2 linked regions of the Rattus norvegicus genome follow. The protein of the gene in region 2 purifies or fractionates together with the protein of the main gene of each other region. This does not show direct contact. Links are inferred from orthologs where the notes say so. Each region holds a gene or a part of one and is shown on either strand. Other genes may lie near its edges.

Region 1 (4,337 bases), about 170 Mb from region 2:
CAGGGTTTCATACCTCAGAACCACTGATAACTCTAGCTTCAGGAGATTCCTTTGCCAACAACTGCACTCATGTGCACACACCCAATGCACATACCCACACATGCATACACATAATCTTTTTGTAGATCTTGAGGAAGAAAAATTTTACCTGTCTGGAAATATGGCTCCAAAGATAAGACCACCTGCTCTTGTAGAGGACCACAGTTTTTTGGTTTTTTTTTTTTTTTTTGGTTTTTTTTTTGTTGTTGTTGTTGTTTTTGGTTCTTTTTTTTCGGAGCTGGGGACCGAACCCAGGGCCTTGCGCTTCCTAGGCAAGCGCTCTACCACTGAGCTAAATCCCCAACCCCAGGACCACAGTTTTATTCCCAGTTCCCACTGGCATTTCACAGTGTCTGTAACTTCAGTTCCAGGATCTAACATCTTCTTCTGGATGCCCTGGGTACCAGGCACACAAGTGGTACAAAGACATACTTGGAAACACACACACACACACACACACACACACACACACACACACACACACACACAGAGCAGGGGGGTAAGGGAGGGAGAAAGAGACAGAGAGAAGGGGGAGTGAGAGAGAGAGAGAATAAAAAACAAGTCTTTTAAAAAGTCTTTAAAATTCGGTCCCCAGCTCCAAAAATAGAACCAAAAAAAAAAAAAAAAAATCTTTAAAAGGGGCTGGAGAGATGGCTCAGTGGTTAAGAGCACCGACTGCTCTTCCTAGAGGTCCTGAGTTCAATTCCCAGCAACCACATGGTGGCTCACAACCATCTGTAATGGGATCCTGTGCCTTCTTCTGGTGTGTCTAAAGACAGCTACAGGGTACTCAAACAAAATAAAACAAATCTTTTAAAAAATGCTTCAAAAACTAGCCTATGTAAACGAGTTTGGTGTCCTCTTGTGCATTGTGTAAGGCTGTTATAGTCACCCATGGGGCAGCGGCCATACCCTATCTACCTGCCACCAATTGCGGTGTCATGTATTCTATGCTGTAGGTAAAGAGGAGGAATGTCTTCCTCTCCCTGTAGGACAAGGATGGATCAATTGCTTCCAATCATTGGAATCCACTGGGGTAGGACGCTGAAATGGGTTACAAAGCCTGGATTCTCCTCCTCTCTAGAAGCCTGCACTTTTTCTCATCAACCTTTTTCAAATTGTGTGAAGACTGGAACCTTAAACAGCGTAACTAAGTGACCACGCACAAACTGTAGGGTTTTTGCTCTGAGTGGACCCGCCTCCTCCGCGTCTGCTATTTCACTTTGGCGCCATCTGGCGCCCATTAAGCAAACAACGTCACATTAGGCTTCTGTTCTGTCTCTTTCCCAGATTGATTTCGTACCTTTCCCTTTAAGAGTTTCGCCTGGGCGAAAGAACTCGAGGGCACCGAAAATACACTTGAAACTCCCTTCAGATTGGTCTAGGCCGGAGAAGAGGCGGTGCGTAGCAAAAATCCGTCTATATGATTGGGTCCCCCTCCGGCTCCGCCCCGGGGACGCAACAGAGAAACCGTGATTGGTCGGAACCCTAGAGGCGGCTCTGAACGTGGCGCGGAGTTTGCTCCCGCGCGGCTGGGACTGGTGGGCGGAATGTCCCAAGCTGGTACCGGTGTGTGCGGTAATGGGGGGCAAGAAGACTCTGCTGCTGCCGGCCCGTTCAGCTTCAGCCCAGAGCCCACGCTTGAGGACATGTAAGCAGTCCTTGTCCAGCCTCGGTTGGAGATACTGACCTTTTTGTTGTAGTGGGGAGGGTCCCTCCACGTGGTCCACAAGAAGAACAACATACCCATGTCCACCCAGGCCCTCCTGGCAGTTCTTTGGAGAGCCCAGCCAAACCTTATGTGTACAGTGCGCACTTGAAGCCAGGGAAATTGGGTGACGCCCCTGGGCATGTTAGTACCAATTTTTAGTACAACCTTGGAGAGGTTACAGAGGTCGGATAGTACCTCTGCACCCTAGGAGTGATGGGCAGTTGAACAGGGGAAGCTGAAGCATAGAAATGTTTTATTTTTTTTTTTTCCTTGCAGAATGTCAAGGAAGGCCTCAGTGGGCAATGTCTCAAAATTACATCCTGTGATTTAGTTAGACCTAGGTGTGCGGGAATAGGGGCGTTAAGGTTGAGTACCAGAAGAACTAGCAGTAAAAAAAAAAATGGAATAATAAAGGGTGTTGTTGCTAAATTTGACTTGAGGGTAAAATCTGTACAGGGGCACGTTTATTTCCTGACAATAAGAAAGTCTTATTAAAAGGTAGAAACTTGGGGCTGGAGAGATGGCTCAGTGGTTAAGAGCACTGGTTGCTCTTCCAGAGGTCCTGAGTTCATTTCCCAGCACCCACATGGTGGCTCACAACCATCTGCAATGGGATCCGATGTCCTCTCCTGGTGTGTCTGAAGACAGCTACAGTGCACTCACATAAAATACATAAATCTTTAAAAAAAAAAAAAAGGTAGTAACTTAAGGACATCCAAGAAATCGACTGTTAAAATTCCTAGGCCTGTGTCCTTATAGGTGTATGCTGGGTACCTGCATCTTGTCCTCTAACCCTGAGACTTGAACCTCCACTCCTTTATTTCAGCCGACGCCTCCATGCAGAGTTTGCTGCTGAGCGGGACTGGGAACAGTTCCACCAGCCTCGGAACCTGCTCCTAGCCTTGGTGGGAGAAGTGGGCGAGCTGGCAGAACTCTTGTGAGTAGATGGGAGGCTTCCTGGAAGAGGCTGTTTTGGGGGTGGAGAGAGAATGTATTTGAGCCTCAAAAACTGGGGTTTGTTTTATTTTCCTTACAGCTGTATTCTGTGCTGCTGCTGAAGTCACAAGGGCCACAGTCCCTGTAGGGTGCCAGGAAGTTTCCAGGGAGAGAATGAAAGTGTAGAACAGTGAGGTAGACTGAGGTCTAAGAACAGTCAGCAGGGCTGTAGTGGTGCAGCATGAGTCAGGCAGGCAGTGGATATGTAAGTTTGAGGCCAGCCTGCTCTACAGCGGATTTCAAGATGCTGGGGCTATGCAGAGAAACCCTGTCTCAAAGGAAAAAGAGTGAGTGTGTGTGTGTTGGGGGTGGCAGACAGTTGTCACAAGCATTTTACCTCTGTGTAGAGCTGAAATAAGGAATTTTAAAAGGTAGCCTGCCAGACAGGGAACTTCCTTTGCAGAGGCAGTGGGGCTGCTGAGATTTCTCAGGGCTTAAGAGCACTTCCTGCCCTTGCAGAAGTGCGAGTTCAGTTCCCAGCACCCCTGTGCCAGGTTACAACCTCCTATAACTCCAGTTTCACGGGATCCCACACTCTCTTCTGGCCGTGGAGGCTCTGCATATACATAGTGCCCATACAAACAGGCACTTACATCTATCTGCAGAATAAATAAATCTGTCCTTTAAAAAGTAGTAGTGAGATGAGAAAGGGCAAGTTAGATTCTGGGAGAATCTAATTCAAAATTAGCTTTCCCAAGAAAAGGGGGGGTTTTGTATCTGTTTTTGTTCTCTTTGTGGCCCAAGTATCTAGCCCACTGTAGGCCTTACATAGAAGTGGGAACTGTGGAAGATAGGGTGTGAGGCAAGCCCAGGCGGATAAGATTGGAGTTAGAAGGTGTTGGAGTTCAGGCAGAAGGCCTGGTCTAACCTCAGTAGCAGAAAGATTTCTGTGCCTGCAGGGCAGATTGGACACCTGAAAATTGGATTAGAGCAGGCTAGTGAGCAGGCTGGTGTGGACCTAACTCTGGGCAGCCATTGTGGGATGAAGTCTAGAGGGCATATAAAATGCACTTGAGGGTGGGCCATTCCTTTTGTACAGATGAGTTAGCATCAGTTGTGAGCTAGGTTATCTATAACAAAGGCTGGGAGGCCGTGGACCACACAGCCTCCACTCCTGGTAGAAGAAGAGTAAGAACACAGTTTTAAGTGATCTGGAACTCTGACAAGGGCTAAGGGAAAATCAAGTCAGATGTGGTGGTGTGTGATGTAACCCCAGGGCTTGAGAGGCAGAGGCTGAGGGCTGGGGAGGTAGGTGGTCGTCCTCGGCCACAGGGAGACTGAAACCTGAGGTACACAGGAGTCAGTCTCGGGAAGGGGATAATTACATAAGCAGATGAGAGAGAAAGGGTTTCTGAGATGATAAGCTCTGAATTGAGACCGAAGTATCAAGAAAGGGAAATCTAGGAGGATGGGGGGTGGTGTTCATAGTAGAAGGAACAGTGACCACAAACAGAAGAGGTAATGGTGGCTTTGGGTGGGAGAGCAAGTGGGTAGAGAGGAGTTAACAGGAAGGTGAATTCCTGCACTGACTCAGGTCCGGGGTTTAGTATGGAGTGACAGCAGCTAGCACTAGTGAAAAGTAGAACTGAAC
Region 2 (3,563 bases):
CTTCTGTAACGAAAAGCCAGCTTCCTCATCCAGTCCACCCCTCCTCTCACACCTGTTGGCAAACAAAGGTTCGCACTACTTGCAGTTGCATGGAAGCCATCAGTTGCAAAACTGTAGGTACTGCAACACCCAGAATACATTAAAAAGAAACAGAAGAAATAATTACATGTACAAAACTCCACAGCTGAATTTCTGTAGGAAACGGAAGACTGAAAGCGCGGCTTACCTTAAGTCCTGACCATTGTCATCGGAGGAAACATCATCTATATGAACTTGATCACACTCCTGGGAAAAGGCAACAGCAGACATTACCAAACTTGGCTACCACCTTCAGGTTTCCCATCATCCCACAGCGGCAGGCTACGGCCACGAGGTGGCAGCATGGGTCCATTCTGCCCTCCCTCTGACGCCTGTTTTCTTACGCATAAAAGGGAAATGGTACCACTTCTCTGAGATCTAAATCCACAAAGCAGTCTGGAAACTCGGGGTGCTTTGAAAAATAAGTTTAATCTTAATATCATTGCTAAGAAGAACCCGCGAATCTTTGAGATCAGTGCCCTTGCTAATCTGGAAATCCGCAATGTGCCTGGGGTCCGAGCATCTCAAGTGGTCACTGTTATTTATTATTTGCTTGGTGGAAGTGAAGGGGTCTTGACCTCAGAACATGGTGTCTTCTGAGCTTTCCAAGACTTCCTGCTCCTTGCTAGTATGAAAGTGTCATTTTACTTAAAGTCCTGGTTTTCTGATACAGAACAAAGCTAGCGGCCATAGAGGCTGACACCTTCTTTCGTCGGGCTTTAGAGTTTTGAAAATGTCAACAAATACAAGTAAAGTCGTGAAGATTTACATACCAAAAGCAATACAACCTCCAAGGAAAATAAATTTGTTAAGATTGTCCATAGTGGATCTGATTTCAAGTTCGAATTTGCTTAAAGCAAATAGTGGCTTCCACATAGAAATCGGGCCCTTAGAGGTTCCAAAAAGCTTGTTCTGCGTTTAAATGATCTGCAGGGTTCCCGTGAAATGTTACATGATTTAAGACAAAATTTGCTGATGAGATTTAAGGATGACTAGATCCCAGAGGATTAAGTTCACAGGTTACACATGATTATAAGTCACAATAAATCAATGAGAGAGAGAGAGAGAGAGAGAGAGAGAGAGAGAGAGAGAGAGAGAGAGAGAGAGAGAGAGAGAGAGAGAGATTTTGACTTGCAGGGGATTGAAGCCAGGTCTGCACGTTTCTGCAAGTGTTTTACTGCTGAGTTAACATTTTCCAGTTTCTTCTTTGGATTATCTCACTTGTATACCTCCAGATCTTGATGCTATAAATAGCACTTATCATTCAAAGATCAATTTAAAATTAGTAGGTATGGAACTATGCCATATTAAGAAAGAGTCTCCACTTCAAATTTGTTATAATAGACCTGGAAGGGACTGTAATCAAGCACCAAATGTCGAGCCTTCAGCCTAGTCTAGAACATGTCGATCCTATTTCAATGGATTCAGAATTGGAGGGCGAGGGGATGCCTCAGCAGCAGGGAGAGAGCAGCTGAGCCTGAGGACCTGACCTTGAAGCCAGGAGCCCACATGGTGGATGGAGAGAAAGGACTCCTGTGGCCTGTCCTCTCACCTCCACAGGCCCGTGATGTGGACTGTGTCCTTCCTCAAGTAAATAAACAAATATGAACCAAAGAAATAATAAAACAGAAACTAAGTGGTGAGCGTAGTCAGGAAAGTGTTCATATGTGATTTCAAAATGTACTTGGGATGGAGGGGTGGCTCGGCTTTTCACAGCATTTGCTACGCTTCTGGAGGACCCAGGTTTAGATCCCAGCACTCCTGATGAGGCTGAGCATGCCCTTTTCTGCCTTCTCTGGGCACTGTATAGTCGGGCAGTGGTGGGCACACACCTTCAATCCCAGGACTTGGGAGGCAGAGGCAGGTGATTCATTGAGATTTGCCAGCCTGGTCTACAGACAAAGTTCCAGGACGGCCAGGGGTACACAGAGAAACTCTGTAAAAATGAAGATGAAAGAAAGAAAGAAAGAAAGAAGTAGGAGGATGGAAGGAAGGAAGAAGAAAGGAAGGAAGGAAAGAAGGAAGGAAGGAAAAAGAATATCCTCATGCAGTTTGTTATCACATTCAATGAGTATGCACCAATAAGAAACCTCTAACTAAAAGCCACAGAATTGCTTCTTAATCACATTGTAGGAGTCTAGGTAATGATAGTAATTGGCAGAGTTTCTCCATCACTTCAAATTTCTAACACAAAGTTATAGTGACATAAATTAATACCCTAGATGGCGAGGCTTGTGGGAAAGTATGGCTGCTCTCAGTACAGAGAGAAGAGGAGGGACAGGAGATGAGGCTGCCTGAGCTACCTTGGTATCTCACAGTTGAGAGGGATGCAGGCTTCTCTGCAGCAAAAGGAGGCATTGCACCTCCAAAACCCTCTCATGTGCAAGTTTATCAAGCTGCTGCCTTGGCCTTTACACTGACTAAGCAGTTAGCATTTAAGCAGGAAGCCCTACTATCCCCAGAATATGGAGACACTTAAGGTACTCTACATGACCTAAGTATCCGCTCTTTAGACATGGTAGCATTCTTTAAATAAATGTTAATGTGTACAGATGTTTTGCCATCACATATTTGTGTACCATGTGTGTATCTGGTCCCACCGAATCCAGAAGACGGCTGTTTCCCATGGGACTGGACTTACAGACCGTTGTGAGCAGCCGTATGGGTACTAGGATTTGGACCTAGGTCCTCTGGAAGAACAGCCAGTGCTTTTAGCCTCATAGAAACTTTTCTAGCTCAGACATGGTGATATTCTTGGGAGGCATTTAGATAGAAATAAATACCTGCAGATCATCACTCTCCTGAACTTCCAAAAGCTTTCCTCATGTAAATAGCTTCCATCTGTCCCTTAACACAATATTCTTACAAAAAACTCCAAAATGGCAATGGCGAGGGAGAATTTTTGAGTTCTTCTAACCACCAGAAGCTATTTCTTAAATATTTCCTTATTGTAATTTTTTTACAAAAAGCTCCCCATGACATTTCAAGTATTAACTCACATGATTAATTTATATATGACTTGCCCCAAAATTCATTTTTTACTCCAGAGGACAACAGTATATCAAACTTATTGGACCATGTACTCTGTATTTGAAGTTAGGTTTGAGGGTCTTCCAAATCTAACTTCTTTTTATATTTATGCTTAGCAACTCTGCGTGTTGACTCTGGACAGTTGCCCAAGGATTACAGTTCACTGAAAGAAAGTTGAACTTCAATTACTTAGATTTTTTTTTTAGGGAAAGATAAATAATTTTTCATCAACTAGCTTTCATTGTGGAAACCAGGCAGGAGTCATTTTAACCTAAAGCTAAAATACTCCCAAATTATTCAAGAGCTTTGGTTTTTGAACACAGCTTAGCAAAGACCTCAAAATCTTAAAATAATTCTGGTGTTAATCATAAATGCTTTAAATTTGTCTTATGAGGTAACCACAAGGTTGTCCCTGATCTATTCCAGGTAGAAGCCACAGCACTCTTCTCTTGCCT

What was found.
Region 1: the proteins of Eya4 (region 2) and Dctpp1 purify together in Homo sapiens (affinity purification with mass spectrometry; 3 studies listed by BioGRID and IntAct, with this or other methods). This does not show direct contact. The link is inferred for Rattus norvegicus from reciprocal best matches to the Homo sapiens genes EYA4 and DCTPP1.

What each region holds. Positions count from the first base shown.
Region 1 is NC_086019.1:191,308,526-191,312,862, reverse strand, and holds the start of Dctpp1 (dCTP pyrophosphatase 1), read left to right. Parts: upstream 1-1,536; 5' UTR 1,537-1,589; coding exon 1,590-1,690; intron 1,691-2,576; coding exon 2,577-2,687; intron 2,688-4,337. UniProt on the Homo sapiens protein: Hydrolyzes deoxynucleoside triphosphates (dNTPs) to the corresponding nucleoside monophosphates. Has a strong preference for dCTP and its analogs including 5-iodo-dCTP and 5-methyl-dCTP for which it may even have a higher efficiency.
Region 2 is NC_086019.1:24,218,398-24,221,960, reverse strand, and holds part of Eya4 (eyes absent homolog 4), read right to left. Parts: intron 286-3,563; coding exon 227-285; intron 121-226; coding exon 1-120. UniProt on the Homo sapiens protein: Tyrosine phosphatase that specifically dephosphorylates 'Tyr-142' of histone H2AX (H2AXY142ph). 'Tyr-142' phosphorylation of histone H2AX plays a central role in DNA repair and acts as a mark that distinguishes between apoptotic and repair responses to genotoxic stress.